Linked DNA regions of Mus musculus: all the other regions are reported to be linked to region 4. The links are microRNA targets in miRTarBase. Many come from high-throughput screens and were not tested one by one. Region 4 holds a microRNA gene; each other region holds the end of a gene's coding sequence. Distances are from middle to middle.

Evidence for each region. Region 4 holds the annotated microRNA mmu-miR-3470a (UCACUUUGUAGACCAGGCUGG, at 3,516-3,536, opposite strand). A microRNA usually pairs through its seed, bases 2 to 8, with sites in the 3' UTR of a target mRNA and lowers its output. Matches are read on the target gene's strand: a 7mer-m8 pairs with bases 2 to 8, a 7mer-A1 pairs with bases 2 to 7 and ends in A, and an 8mer does both.
Region 1: the mRNA of Cx3cr1 is a reported target of mmu-miR-3470a. Seed matches in the 3' UTR shown: 7mer-m8 at 2,105-2,111.
Region 2: the mRNA of Rhag is a reported target of mmu-miR-3470a. Seed matches in the 3' UTR shown: 7mer-A1 at 3,636-3,642.
Region 3: the mRNA of Cand2 is a reported target of mmu-miR-3470a. Seed matches in the 3' UTR shown: 8mer at 2,002-2,009.
Region 5: the mRNA of Mettl2 is a reported target of mmu-miR-3470a. Seed matches in the 3' UTR shown: 8mer at 3,221-3,228.
Region 6: miRTarBase lists Epg5 as a target of mmu-miR-3470a. Seed matches in the 3' UTR shown: 8mer at 4,019-4,026 and 7mer-m8 at 1,482-1,488.

The regions. Positions count from the first base shown.
Region 1 is chr9:120,046,544-120,051,616 of GRCm38, reverse strand. Cx3cr1 (chemokine (C-X3-C motif) receptor 1) reads left to right here. Exons shown (of 2, transcript NM_009987.4): 2 at 1-2,934. The coding sequence ends at 347. Among named protein-coding and RNA genes, the nearest start is that of Gm33858, 14 kb to the left of the region's middle.
Region 2 is chr17:40,839,041-40,844,111 of GRCm38, reverse strand. Rhag (Rhesus blood group-associated A glycoprotein) reads right to left here. Exons shown (of 10, transcript NM_011269.2): 10 at 3,358-4,404. The coding sequence ends at 4,330. Among named protein-coding and RNA genes, the nearest start is that of Rhag, 30 kb to the right of the region's middle.
Region 3 is chr6:115,803,211-115,808,283 of GRCm38, forward strand. Cand2 (cullin-associated and neddylation-dissociated 2 (putative)) reads left to right here. Exons shown (of 15, transcript NM_025958.2): 15 at 427-2,345. The coding sequence ends at 654. It overlaps Rpl32 (ribosomal protein L32), which reads right to left. Exons shown (of 4, transcript NM_172086.2): 2 at 4,592-4,692; 3 at 3,776-3,957; 4 at 2,304-2,478. The coding sequence starts at 4,687. The coding sequence ends at 2,349. Snora7a (small nucleolar RNA, H/ACA box 7A) reads right to left here and starts at 4,893; the gene lies at 4,765-4,893.
Region 4 is chr6:83,086,845-83,091,917 of GRCm38, forward strand. Mir3470a (microRNA 3470a) reads right to left here and starts at 3,543; the gene lies at 3,467-3,543. It overlaps Lbx2 (ladybird homeobox 2), which reads left to right. Exons shown (of 2, transcript NM_010692.4): 2 at 839-1,399. The coding sequence ends at 1,227.
Region 5 is chr11:105,138,761-105,143,833 of GRCm38, reverse strand. It overlaps Mettl2 (methyltransferase like 2), which reads right to left. Exons shown (of 9, transcript NM_172567.3): 9 at 2,688-4,273. The coding sequence ends at 4,065. Among named protein-coding and RNA genes, the nearest start is that of Mettl2, 15 kb to the right of the region's middle.
Region 6 is chr18:78,032,656-78,037,728 of GRCm38, reverse strand. It overlaps Epg5 (ectopic P-granules autophagy protein 5 homolog (C. elegans)), which reads right to left. Exons shown (of 44, transcript NM_001195633.2): 44 at 408-4,804. The coding sequence ends at 4,622. Among named protein-coding and RNA genes, the nearest start is that of Siglec15, 22 kb to the left of the region's middle.

The DNA.
Region 1 (5,073 bases), not on the chromosome of region 4:
CCTTCTTCCTCTTCTGGACACCATACAACATCATGATTTTCCTGGAGACTCTCAAGTTCTACAACTTCTTCCCCAGTTGTGACATGAAGAGGGACCTGAGGTTGGCCCTCAGTGTGACGGAGACAGTGGCGTTCAGCCACTGTTGCCTCAACCCCTTTATCTACGCCTTTGCCGGGGAAAAGTTCAGAAGATACCTGGGACACCTGTATAGGAAGTGCCTGGCCGTCCTGTGCGGTCATCCTGTCCACACCGGCTTCTCGCCAGAGTCCCAGAGGAGCAGGCAGGACAGCATTCTGAGCAGTTTCACTCACTACACAAGCGAGGGAGATGGGTCTCTCCTGCTCTGAAGGGGTCTCCCCGACCCTAGCTCCACTAGGAACCCAGAGTTCTTGCATCAGATTTCCCTGCCGCTCCCCCTGCATCTTATGTGCAAGAAATATGGACCAGATGCCTGCAAACCAACCCCGTGGTGTTTTTTTGAAAAATTTATGTTCAATGTGTGAAAAACACACGTATCTCTTACTGCAAATGTTGAACATTGGGGCTTACTGGTGACAAAAATTCTAACCAGATTAGTGCAATTACAAAGGGGTTTGGTGAGTCCTGGTTGCATGATCATGTGATAAAGGACAACTAAGTCCTCAGACTGAGTGGAAACCAAGGCTTGGCTCCAATGTCCCCTCTCTGACCTTCAGATCCTTCATAGTGACAGATCATCCAGGTTCTATCATCAGAGAAGGACCACATCTCTCTGATTTCAAAATTGGTATTCCTAGGGAACACCTCCGTTGGCCGAGTGTGTCGGGTGTCCATTCCTTGACTAGGTGGTGTTATTGAAATAGAAGGGATACCTAAGATGCTGTTGGAATCTCAAGGTTAGCGGTTGAGAGAGACACATCTCTCAGAAGCTGGGGGGTGGGAGCTACTCTGACAGCAAGAACTGCTGACTCGCCTTACCATGGAGCTCATTCAGGCTCCCCTTCAGTAACTAGCAGTATCTGTTGCTAGCTTCTTTAATCTTCTGTTGAGAATGTCCTGAACTCTCCAAGGGTTAGAATTTGGGTTACTGCTCACAGCATCAAATTCAATCCCAAGGCCCTGTCCTCCAAGACCAGGAAGATAGGATGCAGTTCTAACAAGAGACTCCACGCTGACTCCTCATTCCACAGGACTCCGTCCACCCAGTTGGCCATGTCCCTTTTTCTTGTCTTGACCCACATCCCTCCACTCTTCTCAGCCCAGGGGAAGAAATAGAAAGAGCCATGCCCCAGAGTGAAGGGATCGATTCATATCCCAACTCTGTTGCTTGCACATTGGGGAGACTGGAGCCAACAGAGCTTCAGTCCCTTCAATATAGAAAGGGGACTGTGGTGCCTTCATCCATTCTAGCATAGTACCTCAGCAAGGACTTTAGCATTCCCTGGATCAGGAACTGTTACCCTGCCTCTGAGAAATGGAGCTGGTGGAGTGGGAGGAACCTGCAGGCTTTGCTGCAGGACACAGCCAGACAAGAGGAGACCTATTCCTACAGCATCCCCCAACATGTGCCTAGATCTACAAAGCCATTCCCATGTCCCCGCTGTCAGGGCAAGACCCAGGCCACGAGAGCAGCTTGCTTTCTCCCCTGACCCTGCAAGCATCACGTAGGATGTAGCCACAAGAATGTCTTCATGCATTCACTGACTCCGGTCTCATTTGCAGGCTTACATTGAAAGTTCCAGTTCTGCAACTTGCTTTTTAAAAAACACTGGATTTCAGGGGCTGGAGAGATGGCTCAGTGGTTAAGAGCACAGTCTGCTCCTACAGAGGTCCCAAGTTCAATTCCCATGTCATGTCTGAAGACAAGGACAGTGTAGTCAAAAAAAACACTGGAATTCAAATAGCTCCCTGTTCCTGTGTTGGTTGTGATAACCATTTCAGAAGTCTCTCCCAGCCTGTTGCTCACGGCGGCATGTCTGATATCTCCTTGGCAGTCTGTATGTTTGTGTCGAGGATGACAGACAGACTGAGTCATATCCCCCACAGGCATATCCAACCCTTTGTTATTGCAACACCATGCTGTCATATTCAAAGGTCACAAATGAGAACCTCAAAATTGAGTTACCAAAGTGGGAGCCTGGAGAGATGGCTCAGTGGTTAATAGCACTGGCTGCTCTTCCAGAGGTCTGGGGTTGGATTCCCAGCAAGCATAGTAGCTTACAATGGTCTATAATATAACTCTAGTTCCAGGTGACCCAACACCCTCTTCTAATTTGTGAGGGTAGCAGACATGTGCATTGTGAACATTCAGGCAAACACCCATACATACAAAATAAGTAAAAAAGAAAAAGAAAGGAAGGAATGGAGAGAGAGAAAGAGGGGGAGAGAGAGAGGGAGAGGGAGAGGGAGAGGGAGAGGGAGGGAGGGAGAGGGAGGGAGGGAGGGAGGGAGGGAGGGAGGGAGGGAGGGAAAGGAAAGAAAGAAAGAAAGAAAGGAAGGAAGGAAGGAAGGAAGGAAGGAAGGAAGAAAGAAAGAAAGAGGGAGAGAGAGAAAGAGAGAAAGAGAGAAAGAGAAAGAGAGAAAGAGAGAAAGAGAAAGAGAGAAAGAGAGAAAGAAGAAAGAAAGACAGAAAATTGGTTTTTCAAGATAGGTTCTCTCTATGTAGCCTCGGCTGTCCTGAAACTCTCTGTGTAGACCAGGCTGGCCTAGAGCTCAAAGAAATCCACCTGCCTCTGCCTCCTGAGTACTGGGATCGAAGGTCTGTGGCACCATGGCAGGCTTAGTCAATAAATGTTTTATTTTCAAAAGTATCCTATAATGTTTTAAGTAAGTTTATGCTTTGGTGTTGGTCTGTATTTCCCGCTGTCTCGGGTCACATGGTTAAGCGTGCCTAGAGTGTGTCTATCCCACTTGTAATTCTGTCAATAAACATTGGTTTCCTTCCAGCTCTTGGCAAGTACGAGTCTCAGGGAACTTTAATCTGTGCACGTTTCCTCTCCCTGCTCACTTATTTCCATCAGATTAATTCTTTGCCATGGGGGTAGCTGGGTCAAAGGGCACAGGAATGTTTCAGCTCTGTTCTCCAGTACATACAATTTTATCAAAAAGCAAAGCCTGGCCAGGCATGCTAACCTACATCCTTAACGACAGCATTCACGAGGCAGAGGGAGGTATCTCTGCCAGCCCAAGACCAGCCTGGTAACATTGTAAGACTGAAAAAAAAACCTAGGAAAACAAAAAACCAAAAAAACCCTAAAGCTCTCTAGGGAAGGCCAGCCGCTCCTCAGCACCTAAAGCATCGTTGTCTTGACCAACCTGGAAGTAATGGGGCTGACAAGGCTGTCACAGGCAGCCATCTTGGCAGGGCTGCTTTGACTGCCAAGCTCAGTAAGATCCAGTGCAGCTTGCTTGAAAATTTTTAATATTGATTGATCCGTTGTTTGTACATGTATGTGTGTGTATGCACATGTATGTATGTTTATGCATGTGTGTATGTGTGTGTGTGTTTATGCATGTGTGTACATGTGTGTATATATGCATGTGTATATATGTGTGCATGTGTATGTGTGCACATGAGTGTATGCATGTGCATGCACATGAACACACATGAAGAAACTCAGAGGACAAATTGCAGAAGTCAGGGCTCCCTTTCCACCACATAGGTCCCAGGATCAAACTCCGGTTGAGGGGCTTGGTGGCAATTGTCTTTACCTGATGAACCATCTCTCCAGGCCCGCTTTAGTTTTTGCATACACATGACCTTCATTTGATAATGACAATTTGTTACAAGTCTTTACGAAGCACATATCCTAGCGGGCTCCAGAGATGTTTCCACAGCAGTGAGACCACACCTCTGTTCTCAGAGGTTTTGATTTATTTTTTGAGATAGAGTCTCACTTTGTAGACCAGGCTGCCCTGGAACTCGGAAATCTGCCTGCCTCTTCCCCTGGAGTGTTGGGATTAAAGGTGTGCGCCACCACCCTGGGCTTGATATCTGTGGACAGAAAAGGCCTGGCTGTGTTTAACTTGCTTGCTGTAAGACAGAGCAGAGGTAATAAGATCTGACCCAAGACTTCAGGGATATGAGCTTCTCCAGGAGAAGCAGGGGCTGTTTGCTAGGAGGCAGGGATGTGGAATTCGTGTGAGAGAGCACGAGGTTCCTTCAGTGTCAGTCCCTCATTCCAACTGATGAGCCTGAGAGTTGTCATCAAAGGTTAATCTGTTCCTGGACTCCCATGTAGAGAAGAAAGACTTCTGGCCTGAGAAGCAAACATAGGGAAGCAAACATTTTCTTTTCTACAAACAAACTCATTGCACTGAGCAAGTGAGAGAGGCCAGTCAATAAAAGGGCTTGCCACCGAGTCTGTCAACCTGAGTCCCATCCTCAGGACTCCCGTGGGGCAAGGAGAGAAACACCTGCACTTAGCGCCACACAGGTACCATGGTACACGCACACGCACATGCAATAAAAATAAAATAATAAATCCGTATCCTTCATTTTCTCATTTGCTTTGCTGAACAAGACAGGATGGGACAAACACAAAGAGTTTCGTTGGAAATCCCCACATGGCAAGGACACATTTGAAGCAACTGGCCTTTGACATATAACTGGGTCAGGCCTACTGCTGCCTCTGAGCTTGGAGCTCCAAATAGCAAGGAGTGAATGGCGGTGTGCTCTGGAGGCAGGAGACATGGAGGCAGCGCACACCAGAGGCCTTCAGCAAGTTCTGCACCTTCTCAGGAGCTCAAAGTTCTTATCAGAGAGAAGGGAAAACAGAGCTTGTTCTAGTGTCTCAAGGCATTAATAAGACCCTAGACTCACATCTAACTACAAAGCTCGAGCAAGCAGCCCTGCTTTTCTTGGCCCTCCCTTTCTGCGGGAGGACACACCCAACAGCTAGTTTTTGCTTCTGTTTTTCTTAGTTCCAGGGTCACAGATTACTGAGTGGTCAGAAGTTAACTCAGTCTATCGCAGGCTTTAGCTAGGCTTCCTTTTGTGAAGGTGTGGTTTGGGCTCTGTGTGTGTGTTTGTGTGTGTGTGTGTGTGTGTGTGTGTGTGTGTGTGTGTGTGTGTGTGTGCAAATGTCAGTGTGT
Region 2 (5,071 bases), not on the chromosome of region 4:
AAGCATATACATACAGATTCACATCACTTAATTTATTTGTTTCTGACAATAGAGAGGGTCAAGGAGAACAAACACCACAATAACAATGATACAACTACCTTTACATCCCGGAGGATAAATACCATTTGAAGAAACTAGTACTTAAAGGAATGGCTGATTCCAGAGCTAACACAGGCAAAGAAGAAACAAACACATAAGAGAAAGATCTAGAGAGCATCGCAAAATGGTTTACACTGGCCAAATCTGGAATAATGTCATGTTCACAACAGTTTAATACAACCTTTTGTAAAGAATTGAATAAGAAATTATAAGTCTATAGGGATATCAACTAGTAAATAAACACACTGAAAGCCTTAGGAGAAAGGTGCTGACACAGGGACCATGAGCATCTCACATTACTTGCCCACAAAATAATAATTACAAAGTCAAAGCAACAAGTGATTTACTTATCCTGTGTGTATGCAAACATGTTTGTGTAGGCGCTAGTGTGGGAGTGGATACACATGCACACGTGTGAGCATGCTTGTGGAGGCCAGCGTCTAAGCTTGGGTGACATTCCTCAAGTACCATCTATTTTGTTTTTTTTGAGACATGGTTGCTCATTAGCCTTGAGCTCAGCAAGTAAGTTAGTTTGGTTAGCCCATGAGATCTGGAGATCTACTGATCTTACCCAGCACTGAGATTACAAAGTATGTCACCAACTGACTTTTTGGCTAGAACTCATGTCTTTATACCTGCATGGGATGCACTTGACTGACTGTATTGTCTGTCCTGTCTTCCCTGAACAAGAAACTTTAAGGAAGAGGGAAAAAAATCAAATTCATCAGCGATCAAAGAACTATCATTAATGACAAAACAAGCTCAAAGCTTGTTCCATGCAGGAGGAAGCAACGTAATGCAGAACCTCACCTTTGCAATTAAAAAAAAAATACAAGTTAAATTGCTGTTAATGTTGTATTGCCTGAATCCAATTTGTAAGGAAACACCAGATAAATCCAAATCACCTGGAGTCAATGCAAGTGGCCTGTAGTTTTCAAAAGATCCAAGATCACGAACATCAGAAAGGTATAGCAGAAACTGTTAGAGGTTTCCAGACTGAAAGACTTGACTACTGGGAGAGGTGGAATGGCTTAGTGAATACAGTCATTTGTTGTACAAGCCTGACAACCTGAGTCCAATCCCTGTTTTCAGATAAAGGTGGAGGGAAGGAACCGACTTTATAAGACCCTGTTCAGCCTCCAGAAGTGTGATGCGGTACATGGGCACACCCATATTGTATGATACACACATGACAAGATTCCTTGGGATCTATCATGGCAGTGAGATGCAGCTCAATTGAGTCCCTGGGATAGTAGTGAAAAATCTGATCAGTTGTGAGCTTCAGAAAGACTAGTCAGGAACATTGATTCAGATGTTCCTGAGCGTAGGAGATTTATAGCCTTGTCCCATTGAAGATTGCTGAGTTGGTTTTCTTTTTGGTTTTGTTGATAGTAATAATCTAGGAGAATTGTTTCCTGGGACTGGCCAGATGTTTGGTTTATTCAGAAAAGATTTTTTTGTCACTCACATTTTTGTGATTTTAGTCATTTGTGAAAGGCCTTTGCTATGCAGCTCAGGTTGGCTTGAATTTATTGCCATCTTCCCACCTTGTTTCCTGGTACTTGAGACTGTGAGCATGTACCAGCATCCCTGACTGCCTCCTGAACTGTCACTCAGGGTACATGAGTAGTGTGAGGTTAACCTTCCATAAGTAGTAAAGAAAAAAAAAAGCAACCTGTATAAAGGCCACACACCCAGAGAAGAGAATTAAAACAGGCTAATGTTTATTCTGAATAAAACTGGTTTGGAATAAAGGAGAACAATTGGGAAATCTCCCTGACCCCAAACAGCAGACTTTTCTCACCTTGTGCAAAAGCCAGCTCGAAGGCTGTAGAAACTAGAGCTAGAGAACTCCAGATTTGTGAAATGGTAAGTTTCTCAAACCTGTCTGAAATTGCATCTATCGATTCTTGGTCACCCCTTCAGCTTTAGTCAAGAACAAAGACTGACAAAACTTCCTGGAACAAATCACATAAATAGATCTTGAAATTTTGTTCTATCATGTGAACTGATGCAATAGAGTATACACACTGAATTTTGTTTTTGTGGTGACATGAAAGTGTTTAGGTTAATTAAGTGTTTAAAAAAAAAAAACAGAGTTTAGGCTTTAAACTTGAGTAAGAAACCCACTGCTGCAAATAAATATGGTTAAAGTAACTAGGTCTTCAGTTCCTCATATACACACCTGTGCACAGCCAGAATACAGGCACATACAATTTTGTTGGATCTACAAAAACGAACTGGATTGGAACAAACAATATAATAGGGGTAGATAAAGTGAATAAATATAATGAAAATGGGGAAGGTAGAAGACTAGAGTAATACATTTTCCATGTGAATATCATGATAAACTCAGAGCAGATTTACCGAACGGGAAAAGTGAATTTATTTGAGTAGAAAACATAAATCCTCATATGAAAATAATTTACCAACTTTCAGAGAAAATAGATTAAATAGATGTGTACTATGCCTTTGATTACACTTATTGATATAGTAAAGGTTATTTTTCCCCGTGTGAAAACAATCATTGGTTTCTATGTATTACCTTGGGCTACCCTATTAAAGACAGAAAGTGATGGTACTTACCTTATGCTGTGCCTTTCAAAATGTCAATGTTTTTTATTTCCTGTGAACTTCATAATGATAAAAACTAAACATAAACTATTCCATTGGTAATTATTAAATGGGTTCACTACAGTAACTCTGGACAAATTTGCTCAAGATTATGATCTGTTATTTCTTCCCAATGAAAATATCCTGTCCATTAAAGAATGGCAATGTACTACCATGAATAAAATAATGTTAACTCTGAGTGTAAAAAGCAAAATTTTGGAGCTCTAAGTCCTGTATTGAAGAAAGGTAAGGGAGAGTGTTCATAAGGCAGACATTGACACCATCAACTCTCTTATAACTTTGTGTCCTCATATTGCCCACAATTTTCCCTATGATCATAGCAGGGCACATATCTTTTTTGGTGCCTAGTTGCTTCCTGTTAAGATTTCAGGACTGGGGGATGTAAAAAATATCAAAAGCTCTGAATATGAAAAATACTTCTTAATTTTTATAAAAATGGTTCAATATAACTGTGCTAGTCATTTTTTCTAAATGCAGTCTTTTAAAAGTTATACTATGCACAGGACACTTGATTTTTATAGGGAATACATAAGTAATATATTTTTAAATCACATTAGTATGAGGTGTGAGTGTATGTGCTTGTTAAATGGATTTAATCATATAAAGAAGAGATAAAGACAAACACCCCATTTTATATAACATTTAATCATTTAAAATTTTATAACAGATGGCTTTTAAACTCCTATTACAAATAAGAACCATAAAAAGAAATTAAGGATAAGAATATGCAAACAAACAACAGTATAACATTACTATGACTGTTTTTAAGATTTAAAAAGATGCTAACTAGAACATTAATATTGCTTTTTATTTACATAGATTTCTTTTTCTTTTTCTTTTTTTTGGGGGGGGGGCTATTTTTGAGACAGGGTTTTTCTGTATATCCCTGGCTGTCCTGGAACTCACTTTATAGACCAGGCTGGCCTCGCACTCAGAAATCCGCCTGCCTCTGCCTCCCAAGAGCTGGGATTAAAGGTGTGCACCACCACCACCCGGCTCATTTTTCTAGTATAGACTCTTTAATATGTCCTTTGACTTCAGCTTTAAACTCTTTGGAACTGAAGACATGGTATGTACATTAGGAAGCTAAAGGGTTGCGGATAGAATACATGTAATAAAACAAGGAATACCTAACTGAGGGGAGGAAGGGACCCAGATGGAGGGAGTGGGGAATCATGAGGAACTGCAGTGGGTAGGGATGTGCAGAGGGTAGGGGAAGGGGTATGACACACATGCACAAAGATGTAAACTAACCAAAAAAGTGGATAAAGTCTGATGTGATCAAGAAGTATTGATTTCTATAATTCATCTCTTTTGCAAGATATCAATGATACAATCAAACATTCTCGATGAAGCTATCCATTTGCAACTTCATTCTTAGAGCCTGGGATAGACGGCTTTCTGAGCATTTTCCTGTCAACTGAGAAATCATTTGGACAGCATGGAATAATAGTAAAACTAAACACATTTGTACACTGGCCATTTGGGGCTGGAATTTATCTATTGTCATGCCTATCTCTTTGGATACCAAGTTTTTGTTTCTTTAAATTTGACTCTTCTTGGCAATTCCGAGGATGCAGAGTTTAGGATCAGCTTTTAGACTTCATGTTCCACGTGGTTGTGATTTGCATGTTGAAAGAAGCGATTATCAAGTTCTCTGAATTTGGGAACCTTGAAAAACAAAAGAAATACTGTGACACTTAATGCTTCTGTTGCCTGGCCTGTTATCAATGAGCACTGAAGCAAAGGTGTTTTCTGGAATTATTATCTAAGCTTAGAAAAATGGTGAATTACAAATTATTCATATAAAGGAAAATATAAAAACAAGTCATTTATCTCACCAACTTTGACTGCATTCTCTACTTCCCACACCCAGTTTTCCTACTAATCTGTTGAAGCTTCTATGCCAGTCAAGGTGTGAAGAAAATGCTTTGGGAGAGGGTGACCCTGGGGTCAACAGGCCGAATGTGGGAGCTGGAAAGAAGCTTAAGTTTGTTAGATACAGGAACTTTTGATGTGTGCTTTCTAAAAGCCTTCAGTCTTGCACAGCACATCTGCTTTTTCTTCCTACTTTTACCTTGAACACAATACACCAAACTGTTGGATAGTATTTTCTATGAACACCTTCTAAGAATTGGTATAAAAGAACAGACATGACATTGGTTAGTTAAATTCAGTGTCTACTTAGTTTCTGCTTTGGAGAGGAACTTTTTATAATTTCTATTTTTCATTTATTTATTTTAATTTATTTGCGTGTGTGTGTGTGTGTGTGTGTGTGTGTGCCTGCATTGCATAGAGGAACCCATGAAGGTCAGAAGAGGGTTTTAGATGCCTGGGA
Region 3 (5,073 bases), 33 Mb from region 4:
GGATGCTGGATCAGGTCCCCTCTTCCCTACTCAGATGTGGATATCTAACTCAGGACTTTGTGCGTGCCAGGTGAAATACTCTACCAACTGAGCCACATACCCAGCCCCAAAGTTGTGATCTTCAAATAGCAGCACAGTAGTAGAAAAAAAATGAAATCTGATTATGCATCAGATTGAAATTAGGCCTTTATTTGAAACCTATGTTTAAGGCGGGCGTGGTGGCGCACGCCTTTAATCCCAGCACTCGGGAGGCAGAGGCAGGCGGATTTCTGAGTTCGAGGCCAGCTTGGTCTACAGAGTGAGTTCCAGGACAGCCAGAGCTAAAAGAGAAACCCTGTCTCGAAAAACAAAAAAAACAACAAAAAAAAAGAAACCTGTTTAGAATGGGTAACAGAGACTCAGTAAGGACACTGTCTCCCTCTGCAGGTCAAGGCTGGTTCTGTGAAGCAGGAGCTGGAGAAGCAGGAGGAGCTGAAGCGCTCAGCAATGCGGGCAGTGGCCGCCCTGCTGACCAACCCTGAGGTGCGCAAGAGCCCCACTGTAGCTGACTTTTCCGCCCAGATCCGATCCAACCCAGAACTCACCACCCTCTTCGAGAGCATCCAAAAGGACACAGCCTCCGGCCCCAGCACGGACTCTATGGAACTCAGCTAGCTGCCCCCAACACAAGTCTCCCTTCTTATCCCAATAGGCCTTGGCCTCTTCTGTCCTTCCCTGTCAGCCTCAGTGCCTTTGCTAGGGCCCCCTGCTCACAGCCCCAGTGCCAAAGCCGGGCCCACCAACTCAGGACGTTCATTCACGAGCGTCATGTCCCACCACCTTTACACTGCACCCCTCCACTCACTTAGGAGCCAGAATTGGCCTATGCCCAAGACCAGAAGGCAAGCAGGGGGTTGACTTCCTACTTCACTTACTCTGAAGTCCAAATGTCAGTTAGCACCCTGAACCTAGCCATGGGTAGGGTATGTAGAGCCCATACAAGAGAACCAATTTATACTTAGTGCCTCATTAGTTAGCAGAGTGAGAACTGTTTACAGGGAAGATAGTGTGGCTCATTGGCCAGGTGTAGGTCCACTGTCTCAAACATCCCTAATCCCATCACCCAGGAGTGTAACAGTCGGCTTGTGCTCTTCCCGACTTTGTAGTTAGTACTGAAAATTTAAGTATAAATGACAGGTTTTGATTTTTAAGACATTGTTTCTCTTTGTAGCCACATATGGCCCAGACTCAAATCCACCTGCCTGGAATTAAAGCCAGCTGAGGCCAGTTATCTGAGTTAATAACATATACAAAGCTCTCCTCACAGGATTCTTATCCATATTGATTCAGTCCTGGAAATAACAAGGCCGATGGCATAGACCTGTTATCCTAATTCCTTAGGAGGCTGAGGCTGGACCACACACTCAGGTCGTAGTGAACAAATTTAAGATCTACCTAAAAGCAACAGGGCAGGATAGCTCAGTACCACGCCCTCCTGGTAGCAACAACTTTCTAACCTGTCCTAAAGGACCCTATGCCTTCGGGCAGACATATATACAGGCAAAACACCAAAGTTTAAAATAGCTCAGTTGTAGAGCACTCTCCAACACTACAGCAAGATGATAAAACCTCATTTCTACAATGAGAACAAAAGCTTAGTAATAAAAAGGCTGGGATGTCTTTCTCTCCAGTCATTTAAGTGTCACCCGTGACAGTCAACCCTTCTGAACTCCATTACTGTTTCAAAAGAACAGCGAGCCAGAGATTGGCCTAGATACAGATGGCACTGCCCTTGTAGTGTCCCACGTGGCAGAAGTATTTATCAGTCTCATGAAGTTCTAATATCCTCCAAAGACAGGATTGTCAATCCTGACTGATTGAGGCCAAGCAGGCCAGTTCCATGAAACTAAAGGCTTCATCAAAAAAGTGCCTTAAGCCGGGCAGTGGTGGCGCACGCCTTTAATCCCAACACTTGGGAGGCAGAGACAGGCAGATTTCTGAGTTCGAGGCCAGCCTGGTCTACAAAGTGAGTTCCAGGACAGGCAAGACTATACAGAGAAACCCTGTCTCGAAAAACAAAAAAAAAAAAAAAAAAAAAAAGTGCCTTAAGCTAGAGCCCATGCTAGAGTTGGGACAGGGTTGAGAGCAGAGGTTTGTCTGGTCCCCAGACTCAAGTGTACCTACACTGTAGAGGGTCAAGGCCTTTCCCCTCTTCCACCTGCAGCCAACCAAGACTAGCATGGGATTCTGAACCCTGCTGTCTCCCCCAGAACAAGCAGCAAAGAACAATCTCCAGTTACCAAAAACATAGAAAATACGACGGCAGGTTTTGTGATTTTATTTAAACATAAAACATGCACACAAGCCATCTACTCATTTTCTTCGCTGCGTAGCCTGGCGTTGGGATTGGTGACTCTGATGGCCAGCTGTGCTGCTCTTTCTACAATGGCTTTTCGGTTCTTAGAGGACACATTGTGAGCAATCTCAGCACAGTAAGATCTGAAAGAGAAGCAAACCAGGAAAGGTCACCAGGGAAATGGCTTAATTCTTCCTCACACTGAGTAACCCAGAATTCTTCCACTGGAGCCAAAGGCTTCCAGTGCAACCACTGTAAGGTACACAGTTCAAGCAGCGTGAACAACAAACACTGCCCGTGTTCCCTCAAAGTGTTGACAATCTGTCCTAATGAACACATTCCCAGCATGGAGATGACCGTGAAGCCATAGACCGGGAGCTGAGGAAAAACCCCTAGAGAAGCAGGATGGCAGAGCTATGGAAAGCATACAAATGGCAAATACCTAATACAGACAGACACCACCTGACAGATTTGGGGACAGAGTGCATCACGTTCTAACCTGAAGCACCCATCCCGGGCCACATGCATTTATAGCTGTCTAGCACACTCACCATTCACAAGTCACATGCTGCCATATCCCACCCCAGGACTCTTTACCACTCAGGAACCAATGGTTTTTCTGTAACTACCCTCCAACTTGCCCTGCTCCCCAGCTATACAGAGGAAAATGCCCAGAGACAGAACTCAGTGAGCGGTGCACCTGCAGGGTCTGACAAGGCCAAGCAGCTCTCCTGGGGCAGATGTACCCATTAGAAATGCAGCCCCCATAACACTGCACCATCAACACTGCCTCATGGACTGCTGCTGTACAACACACATTCTCTCTCCTGCATCCATCCTTCCAAATGAACTTGTAGCACTTCAAGGCCTGGTTAAATGCACAACATAATCTCCCCATAGGACTCCTCCATCTGCATGACAACCACCTCAGAAAACAAATCCTTATAACCCCGAACACATACACTCTCTGCAGTCCTAGTTTACTTGGGAAAAATAAACTATTCCCATCACACCCTCATATCCAATGTCAAGAGTATTTCCTGAGAGGCCTTGGTTTTGCATCTCAGAGGTCACCAAGGGTTGTAACTTGCTCAAAGTACCCAGAATACCCCACAACCTTCTCTCTACAGCTGTGCCTGGAGACTTTTTCTCTACCTCAGCCCCAAAAGACCTGAGCTGCTCTGCAAATCCACCCGTCAGAGCAGAGCCAAGCACAGCTTAGGTCCCAGGTTAGACACAGGCCCCTGCAGTCTCATGACACTATAGCAGTGTTCCACACAGGACCATAAAGGACACTGAACACCCACTGTAAAAAGACCTTCTTCTCCAGTCTCAGGCTTCAACCAAGGGAACACGTCCTCTTTCCTCATAAGCATGCCCACTGCAGTGGCCTCAGTCTCACAGGAGGCAGGCACACTCCCAGCCAGGGGCCCAACTCACTTGTTGCACATCAGCAGCACCTCCAGCTCCTTGACATTGTGGACCAGGAACTTGCGGAAGCCGCTGGGCAGCATGTGCTTGGTTTTCTTGTTGCTCCCATAACCGATGTTGGGCATCAGGATCTGGCCCTTGAACCTTCTCCGCACCCTGTTGTCAATGCCTCTGGGTTTCCGCCAGTTTCGCTGAAGACACACAGGCAAGTTAGTCTCTGTGCAAACTGGCAGCTCTTGTATGTGTGTGCAGGAAGGGGACAGAATTCAAGGGGGTCATGTCATAAAACACACACCAAAGGCCGAGGTGTAGCTCAGTTAGCAGTGTCTGCCTGGCATGCACAGGGCCCTGGGCTCCATCCCTAGCACTTGCACTGGAATTTCAACATCATCTTCCATTGCAATTAAGTAGGGAGGAGGGATCAGTTAACTGCTGAACTGCTGGGTGTGCATGCCCATCCAGCCAACAGGTGATCTGCAGGCCCAGAGAGAGGTCTTAGCAGTTGAGAGCACTGGCTGCTCTTCCAGAGGTTCAATTCCATGCATGCATGTGCCTGGTGTGCAGACAAAACCCCAAAGATCTTTAAAATACAGGGTCAGGGTGCAGAGATGACTTAAAAGTGCCTGCTGTCAGACAAACTAAATCTGACCTGGACCCACAAGACAGGAAGGAGAGAATCAACTCCTTAAAGTGATTCTCCCTGCCCTTCAAACGCATAAATATAAAACAAAGTGTCATCTTTAAAATGAACTTTTTAAAATGCAGAGACAAGCGATAACGAGAAATGTGTGCTCAGGTCTTAACCCCCACCCCAGAACCACATACCTTAATTTTCACATATCGGTCTGACTGGTGCCTGATGAACTTCTTGGTCCTCTTTTTGACGATCTTGGGCTTCACCAGAGGCCGGAGGGCAGCCATGATGCCTTTTGACAAAAGTCAGACCCAAGTTAGTAAAGAAACTGGGAGGTGGGGCTGCGTCTCAGGCCTTCAGTGAGTAATGTTGCAGAGTGTCTTCCAATCACCAGCTACCGAGCAAACTGGGAATGGAATGGGTACCTCTGCTAGGCTTGCTCTCCCTCTTGCTTCCGAAGCTGGAAGAATACTAGCTACTCTCCAGACGCGATCCCAAGAGGTCAGTGGTTCATCTCACCCACTCCGAACCTCAAAGAACCGCAACCGATCTTACAGAACCCCAGCCAGGTCTCTCTGGTGGCGAAGGAGCGGCAAATCCCGCTCCACTAAGCTTCGTTATGTTTGAAGTGTTGCGCCCTTAAATACGCAAAGCCACCATGCACTCCTAACAC
Region 4 (5,073 bases):
CCCAAGTGTCAGGAGTTGCATTTGACAGGGCTCGGCAGGTCTCCTGAGTTAGTTCTGAGACTGCAATTGCTCCAGGGGGTGGCAGGGGCTGAGGGGTACCGCCAGGCTGGAGCGAATCCAGGGACCCGCTCGGCTGCTGGTACGTTCGCTGTATGCGGGGTAATCATGACCAAGAAAGGCTGTGGAAGAGAAAAAACGCTTGAGCTGCTGGCAAGAAAAGACTGAGGCAGGGCTAGGACAAGGCAGAAAATTCCTCCCAGCTACCTAGCCCCAGCTACCTAGCCCCAGCCCCAGCCCCAGCCCCAGCCCCAGCCCCAGCCCCAGCCCCAGCCCCAGCCCCAGCCCCAGCCCCAGCCCCAGCCCCAGCCCCAGTCACTTCTTGAGCCCTGTAGAAGATCCTTTGCAGCACTATTGGGCACAGGAACCGCCTTCCGCCTGCCTTCCTTCCCTTTGGGCTCCCGGAAAGAGAGCTGGTGTTAAGGACTTTATTTGGCCAGATGGGTCACCCGACCTCAATTTGGCCTCTAACTTACTACCACGCACAGCCTGGAGCTCCAAACGGCGTCAGAGACCTTCTCCAAACGGTCTTGACTCTCGTACCAGATCTCTGGTCAGTCCCACTCACCCTCTACCCGCTGGAGTAATCTCATCTCTCTGTCGTCAGCATTCCCACAGGCCTGCTGCACTTCGAATCCGGGTTCTGACCCGGTGTATAGGGATCGTGATGCTGGCCCACCCCGCTCCCTCTACCTGCTTAAGCCCCGCGACCCTAAGTTTTTCCATCCAGACCTCAGCCTCCTCCAAAGCCGAGACTGACATTTCCGTCTCATCCTGGCAGGCAGAGCCGCCCCGGAGGCGCCGCCGGGGCCTGGCGCTGGTGTCCGGAGACGCCGCAAGTCTCGGACAGCGTTCACTGCACAGCAGGTGCTGGAGCTGGAGCGGCGATTCGTCTTCCAGAAGTACTTGGCACCGTCAGAGCGCGACGGACTTGCTGCGCGACTGGGCCTGGCTAATGCGCAAGTGGTCACTTGGTTCCAGAACCGTCGCGCCAAGCTCAAGCGGGATGTGGAGGAGATGCGCGCGGACGTGGCCTCCCTATGCGGGTTGTCCCCTGGAGTCCTGTGTTACCCAGCACTGCCAGACAGCACTTCAAGCCCTGACCCTGGCCCTTCAGGGCCCGATTCTGAGCCCAACTTATCAGATGAGGAGATACAGGTGGACGATTGAAAGTGAAGCTGCTGCCCAGCCCTGGATTTTAGGGCCCTGGACCCCCTGCTAGAGGCCTTGTCTGGGTTCCCGGGTGGAGGGTAAACACCCATTTAGCTCTGTTCTGTCTCTTACTCCACACTCCTACTTTTCTTACTCGTTAAAGAATAAAGCCGCCACTCTGCTGCTGCAAGAAGCCTCAATTCGGAAAGCCCGCAACCCAAACCAAGGCAAGCCGCTACTCACTGGGAAATTCCTTGCGGCTCCTTTAAAACTTCTTTTAGCCCAAGTAGCAAGCCTAAAAGGTATGTGTCTGGCTATGGTTATTTTTCAAAAGAGGCTTGAGGTCAGGATTTGTACACAGGCATTGGCCACTCCTCAGAGACCTGGCTTGTCTTTCACCTCTGGAGACACTGGATGGAGAGGAAGTGGGTAGGATTCTAGTGGTGGCTTCCGGCCACTACCCCCTACTGGCTACCTTTGTTCCCAAGGCTTGCAGCCTTGGAGACCTCAGTACTAACCTTTAGGTTGGCCCCTATATGATAATGTGAGCCTTCTACTCTTAATTAAACTTTTACTAGGTTTCCTGCATTAAGAAAGCCATAGTAAGCTTAGTGTAGGTGCACACCTGTGATCCCAGCACTTAGAAGGTGGGGTGGGGGGCAGGAGAATCAAGAGTTCTAAGTCAGCCTATATCACAGCGCACTCGCGCTTACGCGCGCCCCCCACCCCCACACACCACACTAAACAAACAAACAAAACCTCTATGATGAGACACTGTGACACCCCAGAGTCTGGAAAGAGAGCACTATCCACTTCTACCTCTGCCCAGGTATGGGAACCTGGGGTGAGACTGAAGAGAGGAGGTCAAAGTAGCTGTGACTGTCACAAGAGCATCCTAACCTGGCCCCACTGATGACATCTCGGACCTTCAGCTTTGACCTCCCTTTTTGCTGGCCATTAATCACTATCCTCCTGCAAAGGCACTGACTGGGGAGGGACAGGGAGCACTGAGGGGCCAGAGGCCCACCCTGTCAGTTTTTAAGAGACCACCATGCAGCTAGAACCTCGGACAGCGAGTGGAGGGCCAAGGAGAGGAAACTCAGGGGAGAATAAGTGAGACTGAAAGGCGGGCGTGATTCTGGTGTCTTCACACAAGATCTGAGTGCTTTGTGTGAATTGATCAGTGGGACAGACCAACTGAATGGACTTTTAGTCTGGTGTCAAGACACTGCCCTTGTAGGTGGGAAAACACGGCTTCACCTTTTCTCACACACGCTTTTGTTTGCTTGCTTTGTTGCTTTTTTTTTTTTTTTGGAGTCAGGGTTTCTCTGTGTAACTTTGGCTGTCACACAACTCACTTTGTAGACCAGGGTGACTGGGAACTCAGAGATCTTCCTACCTCTACCTCCTGATAGGACTAAAGGTGTGGGCCAACATGCCCAGCACACTTTTATTCTTAGATTGGTTTATTTTCATTTTATGTATATGAGTGTTTTGAATATATATATATATATATATACATATACATATATATATATATATATAGAGAGAGAGAGAGAGAGAGAGAGAGTGCTTGGTTGCTTGGTACCTACATTTCCAGAAGAGGGTGTTGGATCACTTGGAACTGGTTTTTTGAGACAGGGTTTCTCTGTATAGTCCTGGCTGTCCTGGAACTCACTCTGTAGACCAGGCCGGTCTTTAACTCAGAAATCCGCCTGCCTCTGCCTCCCATGTACTGGGATTAAAGGCGTGTGCCACCACCGCCCGGCTGAGACAGCATCTTTTACTGAACCTATAGGTCACTGCTTCAATGGGCTGGCTGACCAGTGAGTCCCAGGATTCCAAATTTCTGCCTCTCCAGCAATAGGATGGCACTGCATTGAGCCAGGCTTCATATGCAGGTCCTTAGATGACTAACTGACTCCCTATCTCCTTAGCTGGTATTTTGATTTCATGGACAGCAGTGCCATTTCATAACGTAAAAAGGTTGTCCATGGAGCTGGAGATTTAGCTAAATGGACAGGGTTTAGTCCCCAGAACAGGGTAAGAAAACAAGCTGGACATAGCCGAAGGCTAAAATACCCCACAGTGAAAGGAGGCACTCTTGAGAGACCAGGAGGAGTTCTAGCAGGGCCCCTGAAGCACGCAGCTTGACCTTCCAACCACCACAAACCAAGAATGCTGGATGAACAGTTCTTAAGGAGTTACTAATGGAAGAATAATCCCTGAGCTACTGGGTGTGGTTACCATGCCTTTAATCCCAGCACTCAGGAGGCAGAGGCAGGCTGATCTCTGTGAATTTAAGGCCAGCCTGGTCTACAAAGTGAGTCCAGGACAGCCAGGGCTCTATTACACAAAGAAACCCTGTCTCAATAAAACCATAAACAAATAAATGCCCTCAAACTAAACTGCCACCTCTCCCCAGCCCATGCCCCCAACAGCTTCAGGACAAATCATTTTAGCTGAGGCAACGGAGTCTTGTTAGCTGGTACTGAGCCATCAACATCAACAGTGTTCCTTACTTTCTTGTCCAGCTGGTACCACCTCCCCTTACACTCCAGCCTTGGATAACAAACCAGCAACCAGAAGGAAGGTGTGATGGTGTGAGCCTGTCATCTGATTAATTAGGAATCTAAGAAAAATTATGAGTTCAAGGCCAGGCTGAACTATATATAACACATGCTGGATAAGGCTCAAGTTGTACCCTTTAGCTTGATGGATGCTCACCCTCCCTCATCCCAGCCCCTTCCCTGTCTGTTCTAGATACAACCCTCAGTTCTATATTACTCTGTTCCCAGCAACGGAGGAGAGGGGAGGGAGGCGGGGGAGAGAGCTAATTGTGACGTCCATCTCTGAGAGAGATGGTAGCCAGGGTATCAGCAGTGCAAGTGTGACCCTGTCTCAAAATACAAACTAAAACCAAGCCAAATAAATGGGCCTTGGCATGTAGCCCTGTTGGCAGAGAGCTTGGGTAAGTCAGACGTGGTGGTAGAGGCTTGACACTCAGGACTTACCATGTAGAAGCAGGAAAATCATAGTTTCTAGGTCTTCTTTGATTACATAGTGAGTTTAAACTATTCCAGGCTAAAGGAGACTTTGTCTCAAAACAAATAAACACACTAAGGTGGGCTCTGGATGGATGTCCACTCTGGTGACCCTAGAAAAAATGTGCAGTGTAGACCAGGAAGACAGTTCTGTGGGTAAGAGCAGCCTGTGTGAAAGCAACAGGATCTGAGTTCAAATCCCCAGCACTCATGTTAAGTTGAGTACGGCTGCACGCATCTGAAGCCCCAACTTCATGGGCTGAGGTAAGCAGATCCTGGAAGCTCACCGCTGAGCCACCCTAGCCAAGATGGCAAGATCTAGGGTCAATGTGAGACCCTGTCTCAAAAATAATAATAATAATAATAATAATAATAATAATAATAATAATAATAACATGATGAACTGGGCAGGGTGGTGCACACCTTTAATCCCAGCTCTTGGGAGGCAGAGGCAGACGGATCTTTTTGAGTGTGAGACCAATCTGATCTACATAGAGAGTTCCAGGCTAACCAGGGTACATAATAAGATCTTAGAAGGAGGAGGAAGAGGATGAGAAAGAAGAGAAAATGGGGGGAAAGGGAAGGGAGGGAGGGGGAAAGGGAGGAAGGAAGGGAAAGAAAAGAAAAGATGAGAAAAGGAAAGGAAAAGGAAAAGGAAAAGAAAAGAGGAAAGAAAGGAAAGGCAAGGCAAGGCAAGGCAGTGCGCTGGGCAGGCCTTTGAGCACAGCTCTTGGGGGCCAGAGATAAGTGGATCTCTGTTTGAGGCCAATCTGGTTTACACATCAAATTCCTTATAACCTTAAAAAAGTGTGAAGCATTG
Region 5 (5,073 bases), not on the chromosome of region 4:
GCCTAGTTTGTACAAGACTGTGTGTGTGTGTGTAAGGATAGCAAATATTCCAAGAAATGTTAGCACATTTAGATTGTTCAGCAAGGGCTCTGCTTATTTGGATAAGAGATTTGGGATCAGCCTTAGCTTGACAAACCTTTGTCCCCACCCAATGCCCTGATGTGCTAACCATCAACTTCTGGTGTAAGTTTGGCAGCATCTCTTCTCAGGGAGCTCCCTTCCACTGTCACTCCCATATCCCAGATTAATAACCCATTCTTCCAAGCTGTGTTGTTTCTAGGGTTAACAGTCTCCAGCTGAACTAACAACCCAGCATTCTGGGTTGGGCCAATGGGAATCTGACAACTATTATTCTCTTGGGTGATACTCTACTAAAACATGCTAAGGTTGGGGCTGGGGAGATGGCTCAGTGGTTAAGAGCACTGGCTGCTCTTTTAGAGGTTCTGAGTTCAGTTCCCAGCAACCGCTTGGTGGCTCACAGCCATCTGTAATGGGATCCGATGCCCTCTTCTGGTGTGTCTGAAGACAGCGACAGTGCACTCATACAAAAAACAAAACTTGCTAAAAACAGATGCAGTCAGAGGATGGGTTTCTTCTGCCACCGCATCAGTTCTGGTGACCAGACTTAGGTATGCAGGTTGACAGGCTTGGCAGCAAGACAAAAAGAGCCTTTACCCGCTGACCCAAGTGGCCCGGAAGGTGTGTGTCTGTTTGTCTATCTTTCTGTCTCTCTCTCTCTCTATATATATATATATGTAGTCTCCCCTCCCCCAGCCTGAAACCTGCTTGCTCAGGGGTAGAGCTTGCCGCTGGAGCCGGCCGGGCCGTTTTCCTGTTCCGAAGCCATCATGTGGTCACCCTGCTACTGGACTCCAAGATTATTTGGCAGGAATCGGGCCCCCTTCCCCTGCTTCATAACTGCATGCAGAATAGTAAAATTGAGCTTTGATCAGAATGACTGTCTTAGCTGCATCTTTTTCTCGCCTGCCTAGTCCTTCTTCTCTTCCAGGTTTTTAAAATGCCTTTCCAGGCTAGAACCCAGGCCTGTGATCTGCTGGCCGGACACAACATATATATATATATGAATCTTTTTAAACTTTTTGAGTCTTTCTGTGTAGCCCTGGCTAGAATGGAACTCTCTATGTAGACCAGGCAAGCCTCAAATTCGCAGGGATCTAGATGTCTGTCTGCCTTCTGATCACTGAGATTAAGGTGTGTGGCACTACAAGTAACCAGATATTTTCTATTTTAATGGTGAAATCCTATCTCATGGAAAGGAAACTGGGGAATGATGGATCTGGGTTCATCTCAGGATGAATATTCTGGCTACTGTGCCTTAAAACCCCTCTGTGGAACAAGTAACCATATGTGGCCTTCTGCCCCTAAACTCAGTCATGTTTAATTGTCTACATGGCCCACTGATTAGAGCCAGCAGACCTCTGAGTTGTGAACCTTGGCTGACTGCTCACTGCAGAGGCAGCAGGGTACCACATCACCATCTCAACTGGGAAGCTCATCACCAAGTTTGTCAAATCACAACCTGAAGATCAAATGAAGCAGCGGAGACCTGTGATGCCCTGATGCAGCCGGGCTCTGGACCTCTGGACGTAGCAGCTATAGCCACCAATGAAAAAACAGGCCTTTGTCAACAGCATGAAAGAAACTGCCCCGTGCTCGTCTTTACTCCAGAGAAGCCCTGACTGTTGCCAATGTCTCCAAGGACAGGAATCAAATTATAGGAACATTAAATGTCTCGTGAACTAAGCTTTCCTCTTGTTAAATTTCCAGGGTCCCACTTTTCCAGTCAAGAGTAAAAGAGAGCAAGAAGGAAGACAGGAGACACCCCCCCTCCCCCATACAGGGACCGAGAGAGGTCAGGCTCAGGACGAATCACCTTTGCACCACAGAATCCACACTGGCAAGGACTTGAGTTACACCCTGACCTGGCATGCCTTTCACCCCAACAGCTCTCTGTACTTGCCCCACATCAAACCATCCTTCAGTTTTCAAAGAATATTGACTTTCTCTCTCCAGCTGAATGGCTGGCACTTGACGTAGGAAGATAAGTCTTTTCATGAAGCATTTCTTTTTTTTGTTTTTTTTTTTGAGACAGGGTTTCTCTGTGTAGCCCTGGCTGTCCTGGAACTCACTTTGTAGACCAGGCTGGCCTCGAACTCAGAAATCCGCCTGCCTCTGCCTCCCGAGTGCTGGAATTAAAGGCGTGCACCACCATGCCCCGCTATCCTGAAGCATTTCTGTTAGATACACCTAAGCAAATCTTTCTAGGCAGCTTCGCAGCTGGAGCCACCTTCCCAACCCAACTGTTTTCAGGAAACTCAGCCGCGTCAGGTTTAATTGTAGAGCCACGTGCAGCTATTAGAATGATTCAGCTAAAACCCTTTGGACAGAGACCATGGGAAATGTGTGGCAGGGATCATGTGTCAAGGAACTCTCCTACACAACAGTTGATAACTGAGCTTGTGTGGAGGTTTCAGTAGGGGACAGAAGACCAGCTCTTTGATGGTGAAGGTGAAAGGGGACACCTGCTTAGCTGACCAGAGCAAACCAATAAATCCTGGTGGTCAATAGGGTGACAGATGGCACAGCCAGAGTGCTCTCATGCCCTAGAGATGACAGCGAGGGAACCTATCAAACACCATCTAAATTAAGCCACACCACCAAAAAGATATAGAAAATTATTTTATTTTGGTACGTATGTCTGAGGACACAGACATGCTACAGCACATGATGGCTCTCTCCTTCCACCATGTGGGTTTTGGGGACATGAATTCAGGCTGTCACGCTCGGCAGCAAGTGCCTAAACCTGCTGAGCCTTCGTTCTAGTGCTAATACTGGAGACAGTAAAAGGCCCTCATAATCCAGCACCTTGCAGCGGAGCACAGCATCACCTCCATCCTGCCCCAGGATCAAACAAGCCAGGCAGGCTTTCACCATGTAGCTTGGGCTGGCCTGGAATTGAAGGCAGTTCTCCTATCTCAGACCCCCCATGCCAATTTAGATTAAGCTAACACCCCGTACCTGGCTGGCTCCAGGGCTCATGCCACTGAGCCATATTCACCATCTGTGAGATGGTTTTACAGTGCAGTCCAGGCTAGCCTTGATCTTAACGGGATCCCTGTGCTGACTCAGCCTTTTTTTTTTTTTTTTTTTTGGTTTTTCGAGACAGGGTTTCTCTGTATAGCCCTGGCTGTCCTGGAACTCACTTTGTAGACCAGGCTGGCCTCGAACTCAGAAATCTGCCTGCCTCTGCCTCCTGAGTGCTGGGATCAAAGGCGTGCGCTACCACGCCCGGCCTAACTCAGCTTTTTACCCGCAGGGATTTCTGCTGTGAGCCACCACACTTGGCCAGGCTTGGATTTTAAATTCTTAACTCTCAAATGTGTTAGCATTCTTTTTCCTTTCTTATTTTTCTTTTTTTGTCTGTGTAGCCCTGGGTGTCCTGGAACTCACTCTGTAGACTAGGCAGGCCCTGAACTCAGAGATCGCCTGTCTCTGGCTTCTGAGTGCTAGGATTAAAGGTGTGGACCATCATCATCTTGCAATATGATGGCAAGAGGATCTAAACTTCAAGGTCATTTTTGGTCACAGAATGAGTTTTATATAAAACTCTAGTCATTAAAAAATTTGAGGGCAGTCAAAAAGCTCAAGGTGTTTGCTGTCAAGCCTGAGTCTGAATTCTAGGACCAGCCTGTAGGAGAGAACTGACTCCTGCAAGTTGCCCTTTGAACTCCCCACATTCACCAGGGCATTGCCTCGACCAATGATATTAATAAAACGAACTCCAGAAAATACGCATTAATGGGCTTTAGAAATAAAACCACACTTTTTTGGTTTGCTTTTGGAGACAGGATTTCTCTGTGTATCACTGGCTGTCATCAAACTCAGAGATCTGTCTGCCTCTGCCTCCTGAGTGCTGGGTTTAAAGGCATGTGTCATTGCACCTGGCTAAAAACCGGAAAGTAGTTGTTCTTAGGCTCAAAGTTAGAGCTCCTTGAATCCCCAGACTGTCCATCATCAACAAGCCGCTGTCTACAGATGTCTTCTTACAAAAGCCCCGAATGTGAAGAACTTTCTGTGGCGTGGGGAATGGGCACATGTTGGCTGGAGCGGAGTGCTAGAGGCTTGCTGTATTTGCACTGAATCCAGACGCGGTACATGGTCAGCTGTTTCCCTCGATTCACCTGCAAGCGGCGATCCACCAGGTTCTGCACCTTCTCCAGGCCAGCAGCGGTGAAGAGCGTATCCAGCTCACCTGGTGTGAAAAGAGCCAGCGTTACAGAGGCTGCTCTGGAGAGAGGGTGCTCTGCTAGCGACTCTCCATGTGAAGTGGAGCCTCGACACTGTGCCTTTTTTTTTTTTCGAGACAGGGTTTCTCTGTGGTAGCCTCAAATTCAGAAATCCACCTGCCTCTGCCTCCTAAGTCACTGTGCTTTTTAAGAGGCCTATTAGCATTGAATACTGATGTAGTGACAGTTTGACAATGACAGGTCCAGGTTTGGGCACCAAAATATCAAAACAAACCTACCAACCAACCAAAAAACCAGAAGATAGAAATTCACATACCACCCCCAAAATCAATCAATCAATCAATCAATCAATCAATCAAACAAACAAACAAACAAACAAACAAACGACACAATAAGGGTGAAGGGAAGCCTATATATAACACTAGCAGTTGGCAAGGGATAGCAGGATAGGGATAGGGTTCATGGCTGGCTTGGGCTACACAGAGAGACTTGGCTTCAAACAAAGCAATAATTCCCAAACCAAAAACTATTCTCCCAAGCCGACAGATGAGTATGTCAACACAATGTCTTACAGGACAACTTTCTTTGTTTTTTTTTTTTAAGATTTATTTATTTATTATCTGTAAGTACACTGTAGCTGTCTTCAGACACCCCAGAAGAGGGCATCAGATCTTATTACAGGTGGTTGTGAGCCACCATGTGGTTGATGGGATTTGAACTCAGAACCTTCGGGAGAGCAATCGGTGCTCTTAACTGATGAGCCATCTCACCAGCCCACAGGACAACTTTCAATGCTACATAGACA
Region 6 (5,073 bases), not on the chromosome of region 4:
GCAGCACCCCAACACTGAAGGCAGGGTTCCATGGCAGACACTCTTGCCTCTTAGCACTCATAAACATTTCGGTTCATCACGGAACTTGGGAGCCTCTGCGCAGCTTCCAAGTCCTTCCTGCACAGGTCAAGGCCACTTTACAGATATTCCAGCCATTGAGGGTTCTTCTGAGTCGATGGTTTCCTGTCCTTACCAGTTCCTAACTGCCCCCCCACCCACACACACACACACATTGAGTTGGAAATTTTCTCTTTGAAACTGGAGGTCTTACCATTGTGGTAAAATATTAAAACAAAAAGACCTAGCCATCACAAATCAACTAACTTAAAAGTTCCCTTTATGTGATTTATGTATGGGAAGCCCTGCCAAGTTGCGGTGTGCTGTAAACAATAAAGACAGGTTCGGCATGAGAAATCACAATGTCCTTTATTTGCAGAATTTCACTTAACTAATTCTCACGGCTTCCAATTTCTCACCATCATTACAAAAAAAAAAAAAAAAGCGTCCTTTGTATGAGCATGGAAAATACTAAACAGCGAATAAGAAGTAAGTATTGCACAGTTAAATGGCCAAAATAAGACTGGTCTTTTGTTTGTTTGTTTTGGTTTTGTTTAGTATAGTATAGAGTTTACTCAGGGCATGGGGAGGGAAGTTGAGAGGGTAGTAGAGAGAGAAGGAGTAGAGAAGTAGAGGCCAGCCATGAGCACGTGGGGGGGGGGGGCAAGAGGATGGAGCAAGAGTAAAACTGTGGCTGTAAAGGTCACACTAGCTGAGGTGAGCACGCCACACTACTGATCTCCGATATAAATGACCTCAAACCACTGAAAGCAAGCCTCTCTTCAGTGCTCAGCCATATTGCATGACACACTGAAAAATGAGTTATAACCAACACCAGCACTTTCATTAGTAAAATATGAGCAGTGTAAGTTTTCTTTTCCCGTTATCCTCGTGAGGAATCAGAAGCCTGTGCAGAGCGAAGGAGACTATGGATAAGCACATGACCTGCTCCTGGCCACATGACTCCTACACAACAGTCTGTTTAGGGCCCTGGCTCTAAGAGCCTCACCTAACATGATCAGCTAGCACCTTAAAATGGACTGTGAAGTTTAGCTAACTAAAGAGCAGGTGCAATCAGAGACGAAGTTCAAAGGGCCTGACCACTGGGCTGACCAAGTAGATGCTCAGTGGAACTCGGGCAGTGACCGCTATTAAAGAGGCCTGTGGTTTAACTCAATGCTAGGTTAACGTGCCAACTACATAGGACAATGGGAACCGATGCCGCCCAAGTGAGTGCTAGAGCGATTCGATCTGCTTAGCCCAAAGGAGGTAACAGCTCTAGGGCAGGGTCCAGGATAAGGCGACAAAGCACCAGGGATAAAACTGGCAAGGATGCTCTCTCTCCTTGTGAGGATCTGTGAGGGCTGAGCATGCACAGTTCTGGCACTGCTAACCCTTGGCACAGTAGTGTGGACTGACTTGGGCACTTTGCCCACAAAAGCAGCTTTATCGGACGCGACGCGACGCCACGTTTAAAGATGACTAAGGACTCTGGCTACTTAGAGAGGACTAAGGAGATGGGACAGGAGGAATGTCTTGAGGTAGCTGAGAACAGGTCCTTCCTGGGTGCTCCAGGCAGATCCACAATCAATAGGCAAGGTTATAAGGGACCATTCTCGCTCAAGATACTCAGAACTAGAGGACCCTGGCATAGCCAAGCCTGGGCTGGGAGTGGCCAGGGTTGGGGAGAGGTTGAGGACTGCCACTAAGGGAACGGAGGTATTTATATGTGCCTCAACTCTGCCCACGATCCTAGACACTGGCTTCCTGCTTCAGAAGAATCAATTTTGTGGGTTTGGGGGGGGGGGGCGTAGAAGAAACAATTTTTAGAAAATACCTTTGAAAACCAGTGTTGTTGGCTTGATTCAGACAAAGCGCTTAAACTCACCAGAGCATAGACTGGCTGGCCTTGGAGGAGAAAGACTGCTGGCTAGTTACAGGGAGAGTCTACACGTCATGTTCACTGACACCAAAAAACAAAAGACACATGAGCGGTGGAGGCCTAACCAGCAAGACACCTGCCCGTCATGTTTAGAGACAAGGTCAAGTGTGCAGGAGCTTTAGAGATGTGTATGGTGGGCGCTGGCCTTTACAGCCACCATCCTACAGGACCTGCCGTCACCTGTTCCAGTGGGGCTGTAGAGCAAGGAAGGCCAGAGCAACCTCTATCCCCTACCCCCATGCCCCACATGTGCACTCCAAGGAGGTGGGCAATGCCTGGAGAGGCAGAGGCACTTCCGCTGAGGCCAACACTCTCATCTGTTCCTGGGAAGCTGCAGAAGGCTCTGGAGTCTGCGATGGCCACCTTCCATACTGCTCAGCCACGGCCTTGCTTGGTGACAAGGACATCAAGTGCCCATCACTGTCCCTGATGTCATGACTTGCATTCTCAAAGTGAACCATTTTCCTAGCAAAGCCAGGTTTGTCTTCCGGTAGCCAGCCAGCCAGCCAGCCTGTCCACAGGCAGCCTTCTTTGTTCTGAATTATTACATAGTTTTAAAGACTTAGCCCAGTGCTTCTCATAGAATCTGAGGCAAATAACTCTCAGATGTTAAGCAGGGATGAAAATAGTGGCAATTTTACCGACCAGTTACAAAGCCAAATAAATGTATTATCAGTCATAAAAATCTACATTAGCCTTCAATTCGGATTCATCAGTTACAATCAAAGGTTGATTTTATTGTTTATACTTTTTACAGATAAAATTTACAAATATTATAAACTTTCAAAATTAATTGATTCTCTAAACTGTACACACTATGACTCAAACATTTCACATTCTAGGATATTGGTAACTTGGTTCTCCTTGGAGAAAGCACACAAAAACAGTGTTTCCTGACCACAGAACCACTGGTTCAACTGTCTACAGCTTCTAAAGTTTTCTTCTATTGGAGAGGGGATGACAGACCTGGAAAGCAGAGAGAAGCAGAAATAAAGATGGCTGAGACAGATTCCTGGACAATGATACTTTGTGCCACTGAATAGGATCGTCCTTTATCAGTGTTCTAAGACATGTCTACCAGGCAGACTTGTTCTGTCCAATAAGAAGTTCCTGCAAGCTTCCAAATGCAGGGAAGGGACCCACTAGCTGTATATCCCATCTTTAGTCAAGGCTCTTGGTGGCCACTCATAGATTTTACACAGATATTTCTAGACCTAAACCCATAAAAAAGACGTATTTTAAGCTGAACCTGCAAAACCCATTTGGGGGCATTTTTGAGAAGTAGGACTATTCTGACAGAAGTCAAATTAGGAACTCTACAGGGAGCGACATGAGCAGGAGATCTAAAGGGAGCAGAGCACTGTGCCAGACAGGTAACGGGGACTCAGCAATGACAGAAGGCACGGAGCTACTCACAAAAAGTCAAACTTCTCAGATTGCCGTGACCTGGCCCTTCTCTCTGGACATATGCTCCAGCGAGTCCCTGAGCGCCATCTGATTTACCTAAGGAAGAAGTACAAAGTCCCCGGTGTCCCTGACAGTAGGGCCTGCAGAAGCCCTGACTTATAACAAGAGCTGGGAATTCCACATAGACAGGGCTAATAAAACGTTGTGACTGAGGAGACCCAAAGGGTTCCAGTGCCCTGGCGGCTGTGGTCAGGGCTTCTGTGCTCCCAAAGACGACACACCTGTGCACAACACAGCTGGCATAGGGCACACTGTCACATCACTTCAGACAAGCTCACTTCCAGAGGATGTGTCACCATCTGTGCTGGCCACTGTGGTCAGGGTTAAGTGACATGTCTGCACAGGACTCATTTTAATTCAGCTCCTTTGCTCTGTTTGCTGAGATGTTCTTGATACACACCTCACGCTGCCTCAACCTTGTGATCCTCCTGTTTCAGTCAGCCGATGTGCTCAGAGGACAGGTGTGGGCCACCACTCCCGAATTTCTTAATTAATAAATTATTTGGCTTTTTTTGAGACAGGGTTTCTCTGTAGCCCTGGCTGTCCTGGAACTCACTTTGTAGACCAGGCTGTCCTCGAACTCAGAAATCTGCCTGCTTCTGCCTCCCAAGTACTGGGATTAAAGGTGTGTGCCACCACTGCCCAGCTACCACTCCTGAATTAATCCAGTGTAGTCTCTCCACTCAAAGAGCTGTAACATAACACTTTAAAGCTGGTGTGTTTCCCTACATTTCAGAAATACAGAATTTTTACATCGGAAGAATACAATGGAGTTCCAAAAGAGGGCTCTTCACGCCTCCCAAAGTGGTCAGATCTGGCATTAGGAGTCTTGACCTTTAAACAAGGCAGGGAGACAGAGGTGCAGACATACCAAAAACTCTATCTGTTGTTCTTAGGGAGCTGACAGGCACATTCCCCAAATGTGAGTGGTCTGTACTCGGGAACTCAGTTGACTTGTGGAAGAGCATTCACACTAAGATGGCCACTGGACAGAAGAGGTAAGTGCAACCAGGACGAGCTGATGCCTCCCAACTGCACCTCAGTCGATTCCAGGCAGAACTGAGCTCTGTGGCGAAACTGAGGAAAGATACATGCACAACAGCACGGCTAATGTAAACTCAGGGCCGACACGGTGCTCCGAGGGCTTCGGCCTCACTACCGGATGTTGTCCAGGTAATGCACTTCTGGATAGAGGCGGTTGACAAGAAGGGCCAGGAAGCTTTTCCCATTCTGAAGGCAGTGGCCAGGATGCCTTATAAACTGAAGAGCATGCAGTATCTGGTCCTGGTACTCCACATACTGCTTACTGAGCGTCATGGACTCCAGAGCTGTCAGCACCTAGAAGACACACATGACAGCTGACTTACTCTGAGAATGCGTGCCACCTGACAGCCACACGGCAGCACTTGCCATCACTATGCCGTTCCTTAGGAGCGGTCTTGGAGGCAGGCTTTGGGTGACACAACCAGGAGGTGGTGGAAGAGGCTGCACGCACCCTCTCTGACCTCCGGAGCCTTCTCTCTCTCTCTTTTTTTTTATATGTAAGTACACTGTAGCTGTCTCCAGACACTCCAGAAGAGGGCGTCAGATCTCATTACAGATGGTTG